2 linked regions of the Arabidopsis thaliana genome follow. The protein of the gene in region 1 interacts with the protein of each later gene in a pairwise test. Each region holds a gene or a part of one and is shown in the gene's direction. Other genes may lie near its edges. The genes, in order: SHOC1 and AT1G12790.

Evidence for each region.
Region 2: the proteins of SHOC1 (region 1) and AT1G12790 interact in a two-hybrid assay, tested with the Arabidopsis thaliana proteins (one study listed by BioGRID).

What each region holds. Positions count from the first base shown.
Region 1 is NC_003076.8:21,230,288-21,238,146, reverse strand, and holds the start of SHOC1 (shortage in chiasmata 1), read left to right. Parts: upstream 1-1,592; coding exon 1,593-1,892; intron 1,893-2,153; coding exon 2,154-2,234; intron 2,235-2,324; coding exon 2,325-2,399; intron 2,400-2,520; coding exon 2,521-4,427; intron 4,428-4,738; coding exon 4,739-4,943; intron 4,944-5,267; coding exon 5,268-5,744; intron 5,745-5,972; coding exon 5,973-7,658; intron 7,659-7,740; coding exon 7,741-7,794; 3' UTR 7,795-7,859. Other genes in the region: LTI65 (CAP160 protein), read right to left, coding at 1-529, 621-791, 873-942. UniProt on the Arabidopsis thaliana protein: Essential for the formation of class I meiotic crossovers.
Region 2 is NC_003070.9:4,358,195-4,363,148, reverse strand, and holds AT1G12790 (DNA ligase-like protein), read left to right. Parts: upstream 1-1,777; 5' UTR 1,778-1,926; coding exon 1,927-1,996; intron 1,997-2,286; coding exon 2,287-2,414; intron 2,415-2,502; coding exon 2,503-2,591; intron 2,592-2,673; coding exon 2,674-2,769; intron 2,770-2,859; coding exon 2,860-2,954; intron 2,955-3,041; coding exon 3,042-3,082; intron 3,083-3,167; coding exon 3,168-3,251; intron 3,252-3,402; coding exon 3,403-3,552; 3' UTR 3,553-3,569; intron 3,570-3,646; 3' UTR 3,647-4,254; downstream 4,255-4,954. Other genes in the region: AT1G12800 (Nucleic acid-binding, OB-fold-like protein), read left to right, coding at 1-3, 86-265, 379-465, 541-612, 700-792, 864-971, 1,135-1,203, 1,297-1,371.

The sequences.
Region 1 (7,859 bases):
GTGGGATCAGTAACTTTGGACTGATAATTAGATACACCACTGAGATAATCCGATCCTCCTCCTGGAGCAGCCGGATCTTCCTCCAAACGTTTTGGCGTCTCGACGTTGACTTTCCGTTGACCACCGAGATAGTCATCTTCACCACCAGGAGCAAACGTCCTAGTCACGTCCTCTGTTGCTGAAAGCAGAGACACAGGAGTGTTCAATGGCTCTTGATGAGCCTCTCTGCTCTCTCCTCTGTCTGAAAATTCTGACACTCCGAGAGGATAATGAGTCGGTGCCTCTCTTTTCGCTTCCCAGTCCGATGTTTCCGTCGTTCTTACAGGATCAGCCAGTGCCTCATGTCCGTAAGAGGTATCTTGTAATGATACAGGCTCAATGGGTTTGGTGTGGTCAGAAGACACGACAGGAAAAACTTTTGTCCCTGGAGGAACAATCTCCTCCGATGCCGGAACATTAGTTTCTCCGGCATGACTAAGAGACTTAGGTTTACCCGTTACACCACCTCTCACGGCAGAGGATTCATACACTGTGCATACACATAAAAAAACAGAAAAACCGTTAATACACAAAAAAATATAACTGCTGATTGACGAGGACTTTAATACAGAGAAATTAACCTGGTGCGCCGTGAACTTCTGGGTCTTGCTCGTCATACTCATCATCATCATCTTCCACATCGTGATCATGACCATTTCCATGTTTAGTGAGACTGTTCTTGATTTTCTTAGCCTTTTCTTTTACTTTCTTCAACACTTTGGATGCTCCCTTCTCATGATGCTCTTCTTCTTCTGTATCCGAATCACAATAAATAAGGCAAATTAAGAGAAAAGTTCTCAAATTAGAATCTTCTGTCATAGATATATATATACCTGGATGGTGAATTCTGATTGGTTCTTCTGCTTGCTCATGACCATAAGGACGTGTCAACTGTGACTCCATTTTCCAAAGCTGTGTTTTCTCTTTTTCAAGTGAATCAATCAAACCCTCTTTGTTCTAGTGTTGTTTTCTTTCTTTTCGTGTCTCTGAGAAAATCAGAACAAAGTTCCATAAAGTTTATAGAGAGAACGATGACATATGGCCGAACCACCTCTCTCTGGCTTCTGTCTCTTTACTTCTGTAGGATTCTGACACGTACGATGCGTCCGTTTCGTCCTGCCACGTCTCAGCCAGTTGCTCTCTACGTGGCTATGCGACATTATCTTTTATCCGATCTTTAGAGAAGCCTATCGATGTATCTTCTATTATTTAGTTTTAGTCGGTCCACGTTTATTGGCCCATCATGTAGTTATTTGGCAAATGCACTGTGTGTTGTTTAAATATAACAAAACGGCAAAAGAAAAAATCAATTCAGCTATCAACTGTGTGCTGTTTTGAACATTTAAAACGGCATAACGTACTCAATTAAAATTAAAAGACGACAAGTGGCGAGAGTTGCTTTGGTATCTCCATCTCCCTCTTGAAATCGACGGGGGATATTTTTTAATTTCTTAAAAATTCAAAACCGCCAATTTCAAAATTCGTTCTCTTCTTCATCATCATCATCATCACTGATACAGTCTGAGCTCCCAAGACGGATCTAGAAAATTACGATGCGAACTCGATTTCTCAACATCGATTACTTCTCTACTCCACCTTCTCACGTATTTGAAACCCTAGGCTTCCTCAATCTTCCGGCTCCTGATAATTTCCCGGCACCCATCGTCTACAACGGAGAAGAAGACCGTCTCCGATTTGGCTCGATCGAAAATGTTAGTATCCCTATCGGAAATTTGCCTATTGAAGCTGCTTTGTCGAAGTTCCTTTCCGACGTGGTTCCCGACCGCGTCAGTGTGGACTATCGAGTTTTTGAAATCGACGACTCTTCGCTCGGAGTTTATTACTCAGACGAGGTAAAGTTCCTTCGATCTAGATATTATCAGTTCCTGGAGGTGAAATTTCGAATTTCCTGAGTCTCGCTGACTGTTTCTGTCAACGGTCCTTTGTTTCTTATAGTGAGATTGGTTGTAGATTTTTCGAAATTTGTGGTGTGTTTTCTCAGTTTCCATTTCTGATTGTTGCTTAGATCTTATATTCATACTTGGGTTGGAAATTTTGGTAGCTTAAGCGAATCTTACCGGAGTTTGAAAACCGAAGTTATGATCTATTTGCAGAAGGATGACGGAGATGCCATTGCGGATAAAGCTACACCTAAAATTATTGAGTTGGAGACTCCAGAGTTGGATTTTGAGATGGTATTGCTCAAGCTGTGTAAGCATTGTACTAATTGAACTAGTTCAGCTTTTTCTTTTTCATTGCGAGATAAAGCATCTTTTGATATACAGGAGAACAAGCTCTTATGCACGAGTGAGGATCATCTCCAATGTTTCTCTGAAGTTCTAGAGATCAAAAATGACCCGGTAAATCCCTGAGTTGATTTTAGTTGGCACACACAACAGTAGTTTTTGCTTTTGCTGTAGAGTGGTAGAGCTGGTTCCTGTTCTTGGCATCATCTGATTTTAGCTAGTCTTCTTATTGCAGGTTAAATATGAGGGGTCAGATATTATCCTGCAGAACTCAAAGGACATTCAAGAGCAGATTTATTCTGTTGATTACATTCCTTCTGATTACTTTACAGAGAACAACACTTCTGTAGCAGAAAATGAATGCTTCCGCAAGATTCAACCATGGTTCAAAGATGCCAGATTTCCCCTTCTAGAAGTGGATGAAGTAAACTTGAGCGAACTATCAAGCTTATCTGTGCTTGATAAAGTATTTACTGTTCTTGAGACGATTGAACCCCAAGACACTAATGCAGGGAGTTCTCTCATTATCAATTCTAAGGAGCTTATAGGCTCAAAGGATTATGATCTATTGGATGTACTCTCTACGGATTGCTATTTGAACAAGAGTGGCCAATCTGATGTGGTACCAGAGGATGAATTTTCTGAAATGGATATAGTGACTATCCTGGAAATATCAAATGCTGAGGAATTTCAGGGAAAGGTGGCTGTACCAGTAACTTATGAGGAATTCCAGATCCTGGATGTGGATATCTCTGATGTTTTTGATATCTTCCTTTGTCTTCAAAAAGCCATTGAACCAGAAATCTGTTACGGTATGTTCAGTAAAGAGATGAACTTCAAGGATTTCGATGAATTAGTTGTCAGTTCCGAACTTGCCTTCACAGATGATGCCTTCAAGTCTTTGCCTACTCCTATTTTACATGATTATGAGATGACAAGATCTCTGGAGCTCATTTATGAGGATGTTTTGTCAAAGATCAAGCCTCAATCCTTGTCTGCCTCAAATGACATATACTTGCCGTGGAACCTTCTTGAGGAAAGAAACCACAACCATTGTGATTATCCGTTTGAAGAAATAGTTACATTCAACATTGATTATAACTGGGAAGCTTCAGAAGGAGACAAATGGGTTTATGATTTCATTTTCTCTGAAGATGCTTTCTGCGAGCCACTTGTAGAGAAATGCACTGAACCTTTCTATGGTATATCTAACCTTGATGAGCATGCTCCTGTTAATACTTCGCATGGGTTATTGGAAAACCCTTTCCAAAAAACAGGAGCAAGGGATTGTGCAGTGGATGATAATGCTAAGAAGGCTACGCTGTTGTTCAAATCAATGTCTGCTTTTGATGACTTAACCTTTTTCATGGATCCGAAGAAGGCTGTGATTGAAGATAATCTCGAGTCTAGAGTCGAAGCTGCTAAGACTACCAACCATAAATGTATGTCTATTGACTCGAAGGCTTCATGTAGATCTGGTGGTATGCACCCAAACCCGAAGACAGAGGAAATGATACTTCACAGTGTGCGCCCTTCAGAAAATATTCAGGCTCTTGTTGGGGAATTTGTGAAGAGCTATTTAACTCTTGTGAAGGATGAATCAGAGAATTTATCAGAAGATAAACTTAAGTTACTCAGCATATCTAAAGGAAAGCTTATTGACTGCATAAGAAAGGCAAATGTCCACAAAACACAGTTGGCGGATGATAAGACTTTCACGTTTGCATTACTATTAGCAATTAAACAGATGACATGGTATATGTGTTTCTTCGGTATCCATGTGGCATATATCTATCTTAACAAGGTATGTCGAAGCTCAAATCCCATGAAGATAGGATTGCACACCCTCTACTCAGCAGTTGAAACAGAACACAAATCAGATGAGACAGACATCACAAGATCACATCCATCACTAGCTGTTATCCAGGGGATTTTACAGTCAGAATTTGCCCGGGGGAACTCCAAAGCATTACTTTTGGCTGAGAAAGTGTTTTGGTCCTCGCTGAAGAGGCTACTGATGTCCATGGGGTTATCTTACAATGACCTCAACAGTCCCTCCCCAAGTGGAAATCGACCAAATGTTCATGAAGCCATAGAACTTGGTTTCCTGCCGATTTCAGACTGTCTAATTATCTCTTACGAGTGAGTATTATTTCTTCCTATAGCCATATCCTCATTATCAATGATCATAGCTTTTCACAGTTGAATTTTTTGGGAACTAGAAAGGGAACCAAAGAATTGATATATTGCGGCCTGAAAAGCATTTTCAGTCTTTTAGCATGGTGATTGTAAGAGATACCACAAAATGTTGTTACTTCTCTGCTCGTGAAATTGCTGCATTATTGTTCTTTGCATGCTAAAACATAGCTTTATCGATTCTTTGTTCAATATCTTTTAGTGAAATTGTCTTTTGGGAGTAGTTAAGCTAACTAGTCCTTTCTTTTTCATCTAAGGCAAATTTCTCCATCTTTTCCTGTGGAGAATTTCAGCGTCATTGTAGAATATGGAGGTCCAAATGCCTCGCCCAGATATTCTTTTCCTTCAAAGTTGGATTCCTTTCCTTCCTTTCATTTCATAAAAGTGGAGCTGGATATGCCCAGTGCATGCGGGCAACTCTGTGCAGGTGTTACAGTACCTTATAGTCTCAAAATGATAAAGGTGAGAAACATTCAACCTTTTCTTACAAGTTATATTGGTAGATTGTATATTACGATGGAAGAGTCTGTGTGAAGGGTTCAAATTCAGAGCAGTAGATCAATCTGTATCACAAATAGTACTTTCATGAGCATATGATCTTGATTGGTTTTGCAACACTGAAAATTATGCAAGTTTAACATTAGTATGTACTTTAACCTAAAATTGTGTTGTCACATCAGTGGTATTCACGTTTATTCCATAACTGCATATTTTGAACGCTTTGTTTGAATATGTTCCAGAATATGCAGATACGAGAACCTATGTACACTATTATCTCTTTTGTAGGGAGACGAAGTTGAGACGAAAACTGGGTGGTTGGAAGAAGTGTTGAACTTTGTTCCACTTGAAAAAGTGTGTTATGCAGGATCTTCCGAAACCACAAATGAATCTGAATTTATCTCCATGCCTCAAGAATCTGAAAGAAAACGTGGGATAATTGAACAGGGTCTCTCTGACCAAAGATCTGTGATTGTTGTGAACACAAAAACTGTCGATAAGGAGATGATCATATCCAGAAGAAGTACATACCAGAAGGTGTTAGCAATGGAAAAAGAAGGAGTGCAAGTTGTGGAGCGCGATTCAGATCTACCTGTGGACCTGATGTTAAGTCCTGCAGTTTGCCTACTCTGGTATGATAGTGAAACTGTTAGTAAGAAGTCGGCTGCAACTATTGGTACTTCCTCAAGTTCACTTTCATGGATTGGAGATATCGCAACTAATGTTTTGACGTCATTGAGTTTCAGTTTCAGCACTTGCATTATGGTAAATTCCACCAAACTTTGCTTTTTGCCGTTCTTTTGTGGGAACGTTGCAGTATATATGTGGACCTTTCACTTTAAGAATCATCTTCTATTATTTTTGCTAATTTGATGATTACAAACTTACTAGATGTTTAATACTCACTCATATACTAAAGTCTCTGCAACATTTTCTTCTAAACTGTAGACTGAGTCCAGAGAACTTAAAGAACGATTGTTATTTTTCGTACAGGTTTTTGAGGGGGAACCCGCCTTCCTGGCTGCCGTAATGGACTCCTCTGATGAACTGTATGCAGCAGCTGGTAGCCTAGGAATCAGTTTACAGATGTTTTGCTCATCGTCAGCTAATCTCACGGATGAAATTATATTGAAGTGTATCAAATCTTCTGTTAAGTTGTCCAAACTCCATGTCAAAATGCCCGAGTCAGAATCTCTAGCAGAATCATTTCTCACCAAGTTTCCTTCCGTGAATCCACTCACAGCTCAAGTAATTCTGTCATCTTCTGGGTCACTTCTCGAATTCATGAAGCTCCCACATAAAAGCAAGGTTGAAAGGACGCAAAAGTATCATGTACCTGAAGAGAGTGTTGATCTATTCAGTTCAGTATGCAGATACGGAGCAAGGGAGGACTCCAGATCTGTAATGACAGACAGCTCTTCTTCGGTATCTTCTGGACCTGACTCAGACACACACCATGTCAGTGTCCATTCTGGCTCAAAAAAGAAACAGTACATTGCTGAGAAAGATGAGATAGATATGGACGACTTGGTGCATTTTTCTCCCTCGATAGAATTTGCTGATACACAGCTCAAGTCTTCTGGGGATTTCCAACTTGATGATTCTTGGTCATCGAAAGATCATGAGATCTTTCATTTTGACCCTGTCACTGAATTCTCAGATGCACCTTTCAAACCTTCTGGGATCAGTCATCCCAATGACTCTTGGCCGTCTAAAGATCCTGAGAGATTTGACAAGAAGTCAGGACCTGGTTCATCATCAAAGGACACATTTTGGGAGAAAGATCAGCCTGATTTTTCAGTGGAGGACAGTCTTCCTGGAATTCCTGAATTAGAAGATTGGAGTTTCCCAGTTAAAGACAAATTCATGAGCCAGAACAGAGGATGTAAATTTCCGGTGATGAGAGATTTTAACTTGCATGACAATAGGAACTCGGAGAATTTCATCGCAGACTACAAAGGTGAAGTAATTGACAGAGCTGATAAGTATCTCGAGGAAGACTTCCCGCCTTCTCCTGGTTATAATAGGTTTGCTCGAATAGTTTCTGATGTTAATGAAGAGGAACTTCCAAGAAAATCAAAATCTTCAAGGAAGTTATCTTTCTTTGGATCTCTCCAGCCTAACTTCCCAAAGGCGGCTGACATCGACTCGAGTTCTGAAAGATACGCCACTGAGAAAGATTCAAAATATGATAACAACACTTCTTTGCGTGGCTATGCTGATAACTATCCAGCAAAACGCCAAAGGACCCTTTTGGAGGAGGTCTTAACACGAAGATCTGCAGTTCCAACAACAGAGCTTCCATTTAGAGAAGAAATATCACATTTTGGTGGATCTCCACTATCAAACGCAATCCGTTCTTCAAATCAAGTACAAAGTTCTCCTTGGACGGTTGATTTCCTTAACAGAGTTCGAGAAAGAAGCAGAGCAAGGAAACAACAACAATCTCTTCCTTCTTATGCTTCTCCACCTAGTTTGGAGACTCCAGGGAACATAAAGAAAGCTAATACCAAGAGAAAGAGTCCATCCATACTCGAGTTTTTCAAGTATAAAGGAGGCAACAAACTTCAAGAAGAGAAGAGGCAGAAGCGGTCAAAGAATTCTTCAGCCTCACCAAAAAACGAGAGATTTTACTCGCCTCTTAAGTCATGCACACCAATTGATAAGCGAGCAAAACAGGTATTCATTATATATGATCCCTATAGAAGTGAGATTTGTTCATACCGTTGATTTCTTTAACATCTTTTTTTTTTCATTCCAGTCTCTATCTTACACAGCGAATGGAACTGGCCAAACAAAACTTGTATGGAAGTAAAGAAACAAACACGGCGTAGCAATTGGAAACTAACCAAAAACCAATCAGTGGATATGATCAGATTT
Region 2 (4,954 bases), on another chromosome or scaffold:
CAGGTATGTCTAAAAAACCTATGACTTTAATTTCCATACATGGAAATGCTTGTTTTTCCTTTCTAAACAATTTAACTCAATGCAGAAAATCAAAGTGAATGTTGTTATGGCAAATCGAAATTCAAGGAAGCTTATATTTTCAATGAGGCCGAGAGAAAATGAAGAGGAAGTTGAGAAAAAACGAACTCTTATGGCTAAGCTTCGTGTTGGGGATGTTGTGAAATGCTGCATCAAGAAAATTACCTATTTTGGTATTTTCTGTGAGGTACTAACTACTAACTTACAGAAGTTAAAATATCTTTGAACCTTCTTGCTTTATTGACTGGCAAGAACGGAATCTAGAATGTTGTGTAAAACTAAAAAGTTGGGTTGAAACAGCTAGAAGGTGTCCCTGCATTGGTTCACCAGTCAGAAGTTTCATGGGATGCAACTTTAGACCCTGCTTCATATTTCAAGATTGGTCAGGTAATATCTCGAACTATCGTAAACACTGCTAAGGAATACAACTGTTTGACAAACCTTTCTTTTTGTTGTTATCAGATTGTGGAAGCGAAAGTGCACCAGCTAGATTTTGCTCTTGAACGTATCTTCTTGTCATTAAAAGAAATTACGGTGAGAAAGATCTCTCAAAAGTTTATCTTGTAGCAATTGGTAACTCATTTTGATATATACCTAGACCCGTTTGATGTCTTTATGCAGCCTGATCCTCTTACTGAAGCTTTAGAATCTGTAGTTGGTGGTGATAATGATCAGTTGGGGGGACGATTACAAGCAGCAGAGCTCGACGCTGAGGTATTAAAGACCTTCTGTGATTTTATGTGATGAAACCATTATTACAGGTTTCTGAAACCTTTCTTCTGCAGTGGCCTGACGTGGAATCTCTGATCAAAGAGCTGGAAATGGTTGAAGGAATCCAATCAGTCTCAAAAAGTCGTTTCTTCTTGAGTCCGGGTCTTGCTCCAACGTTTCAGGTACACAGTTTAATCACCTAAAATGTATATATCAAAACACGAAAACATCTAACAGACCGCTAAAGAGTTGAATACTGTTGCGGCTTCCTTAGCGAAAAAATGTGAACGTTTTATGTTTTGATCGGAAGCTAAGAGCTCTGGTTTGCTTTCTCTCTCTTTGTAGGTTTACATGGCTCCAATGTTTGAGAACCAATACAAACTGCTTGCTCGAGCTGGAAACAGAGTACAAGAGGTAAAAGAAAGAAAGAGAAAGATCTAACTTATAACATCTGTTTTATTTTAATCTTGGATGATTCAGTTTTTTTCCTTTACTGTTTATCTGCAGCTTATTGTTGAAGCATCCTTGAGCAAAGAAGAGATGAAATCTACAATCATGTCTTGCACCAACAGAGTAGAATGAGAATATTGAGGAAGGAAGGAATGAATGAATCCACTATTTTTTTGTATTCTTGAAAGTGGTATCATTCGAAGACTTATACCAAGTCTACAACATCAATACATGATTTCTAATGTAATACTTCCTGATCTTTTTAATATATGAAAACATTTTCCCAACAAAAGCAAGAATCTGGAAATATGTAGAATCACCTCTCCTGTGAGGAATGAAGTAGATTATAGGATTATATTACTTACAGGCTAACAAATTCTCTCTTATTGTTATGTCATGCATGGTTTAGGCTTGCACCCTATGATCCTGATATCCATAGGAAAGTAAGAAATTATAGTTTGAAAGACCATCAAGTGAATCTGATCAGTAGCATATCTTCGACCTCAAACGTAATGTGGAGCGTATGGAGAATTCAAAACCGGTTTATATATACTCATGAACCGGTTAGGAGAACCAAAGTCGGAGAGCGATGTGGGACGAAAACAATTAATTATTCAAATTTGATAATTATTCGTCATCCTCATCCGCCAAGATTTTCGAATTTCTATAACTCTAGGAGGTTCGTCAATGGCGACGGCGGGATCAAGCTACAGTGTCTCAACAGATCATCAAGTTTCGTCACCTCTCGTGAATCTAGGTAACCACTCTTCTCTGTTATCAAAATATCCGATCTACTCAATCGTTAGAGTCTAGGATTTGCAAAATTTTGGTGTCGATTTTATAGCTGTGATTCAAATCAAATCTAGGAAACTTGAATTCGACTCTGTATCTGCTCAATTTCTTATGTAGAAATGTCGATAAGTTCTCAAATTAGGCGATATGTGTTTTGATTTGATTACTGCGAAATTTGAATGATGAGTCTAATGTTTAGTAGATTCATGTTACTGAGAATCTGCGATTGGATTAATTTACGATAATCTCTGACAGGAAATGTTGCTGGTGTTTGTATAATGAGCAATGCATGGAAAGTTGAACAAGAACCTTCACTGATCAATTTCATATCTGCGTTTCTTAGCGCAAACTCTTTCCGCCTTAACTTTGTCTCTATCCCCCCTGTATGTGCCTTCTTTCTCTGTTTAGATTCTTTTGGAGAATTGGATTATCTAAAATTTAGCTTAAAGAATTCACTTTATGCTGTGATAGGATCTCATCTTCAATTGTGGAGGTGTTTCTATTGCTTTTGTTTTTGTGACTAAATGGGATTTTTCCAATGTTGCTTCCATCTTCAGCAGGTCTATATAATAAAGTTTCAAGCTCTCTCTCTATCGCAAACTCCTATATGTCTTCTGATTTCTTTGACTTAAACTTTTTTAGAGTAAAGAGGCTGAAAGGGCAATTTGCGCAACTTTATGTTGTTGCTACACTTTCAACTAAAGAGCAGAGTGATTCTTTTATGCGATCTTACTTCCAGTGAGTGGTCTTCTACTCTTCTTTTTTCACTTTGCATCATTTTGCTTATCTGTGTTGTCGGAAATGAAGCTCGATAAATCTTTTTCGTAGATATGAGATGGAGTTTGGGAAACCTGCGTTTGTACAAGTCACTGATGCTGAGATGGGATTTGAGAAGATTGTTAAGATTGCTCACTCTCGTGGAGGTATAAGATTCATTTGTTTTGTGTTAGTTAATATACTCTACGGTTTTTTTAGTGATTGACTGATAAGATTTGAAACTTGAGCTTCAGTGTGCAAGCAACAGAAGGTGGCCTCTAAGCTCAAGGTTGAGGTAGGTTCTCATTTGTTATAATGATCTGTCTCAACATTTGTTTTTGACAATCTCTAAAGCTTCTTTCGTTTTCTTTCATGTGAAGAGAAAGCGAACTGTGCAGGATACAAACATCTTCATCAGATTTGTCACATCCATACCCAATATTAACAAACATGATGCGAACACGGTAATGTTTACTTATGAGCAGGTTCAAGTGGTAAACTTGCACTTTTGATACTATTAAAATACAATTCCAACTTCAAACTTCAAACCTTATTGTGAATCATGTCACTGCACCATGAATTCTACTTGCTTGCTTATGTTCTCATCGGTTACAGCTGTACCAGGCTATTGGTTCAATTGAAGCAATCGCTAAAGCATCCAAAGAAGACATTTTAGCAAACACAGATCTCTCTTCTAAAAAGGCTGATACACTCACCAGGTTTTTCCAAGATCCTGAGTTCTACCTCAGTCCCAAATTCAACTGACGACTGCAGAAATAGTTGTAAGATACTAAGATCACAATTCTTATAAAATCCGTAACGTCGTAAGACTTATCTATCTTATTCTTGGCCGTAACAGTTTCTAAAGGTACCACTCAAAGACTTTTCGTAGTCCTTTGCTATGGCTACAAGACTACAATACATACACCTATAGGAGCCAGTACCGGGTAAGTAAAATGGCTCACTTTTTTATCTTTGCTAGCTCTGTCTGAATACTAGTACTTTTATTACATCCGTTCCTGTTAAAGTGTTTAGCATCTGAACTTTAATCAATAAAGATCGGTACCAAGACTTTTTTTGATGTTTGCAGTAACACCAAACTGCATCGTGAAAACGTTTGGTAGATTGATTGATAAGTTTGAGGGTTAAGCACAATAAATGACCACACTTGTTTTTCTTTTGGTTGATAGTTACGGGTTTTTGGGTTTCTTTGATCTTAAGCAAAAATGACAAGCTAACAAAACCCATGTGAAATGGCTTTGCATTTATAAATTCTTGTATTCTTACTTATGTTATCCGGATTTAAAAATCATCTACATCACACATTATCTTAAGTAAAAGATTTTACCCGCAATTTGTGACAAATCGAAGAATTTGCCATTTCTACTTGCAAATTGATGCAAAATTCATGTTATGAATATATTTCAAAATTTATCTACATAAAGACATATTTTGTTATAAAAAAAAACATACGAAACATATATTCCTTCTCAAAACAAAATCCTATTAGCTAACTCTAGTACCAAAACATTTCAACATTTACCCAAATTGGATACCTAAATAAAGTTGTAGATACACGTCATCAATTTGATCATAACGTTATCGGTAGGTCTCTGCTGTCTCTGTCACAATCTTAGGTATCGTTAAAAGATAAATATTAAGTGGACAACTTTAACGAAAAAACACAAAAAAGTTGATTGGACAACGTTACTATCCAGTTTTTAGCGTGTTATCCAACCCATAGAAAATTTATCTCTCTGTATTCCCATAATCCTCGTAGATTTTGGTCATCACTAGTCATTTATTTACAAAAATAGGTTAAAAATGTCATTGCGTAAAAAAAAAAGAAGACTTAATCTTACATTATTTCCCTTTTAATTATTAAAATCCGCCGAGAAAAGTTTCACCATCAATGCGTAACTGAAAATCGACGAATCAAAGCTATAATACACTTAAACGGATCATCATCATCATCATCGTTGTCATGATCATCACTGCCGTATTTATAGAAACCAACAAAAACATGAAAGAGCCCACTCATTTTTCCTATTTTTCGCTTTGCGTGCCTTCTTATCAACTTGTAAACAAAGCTACAAATATCTTTAAATAAGGACCCAACTCTTTTTCAATTCCTCCCATCAATCTTCTTCATTTGTTCTTCTGTTGG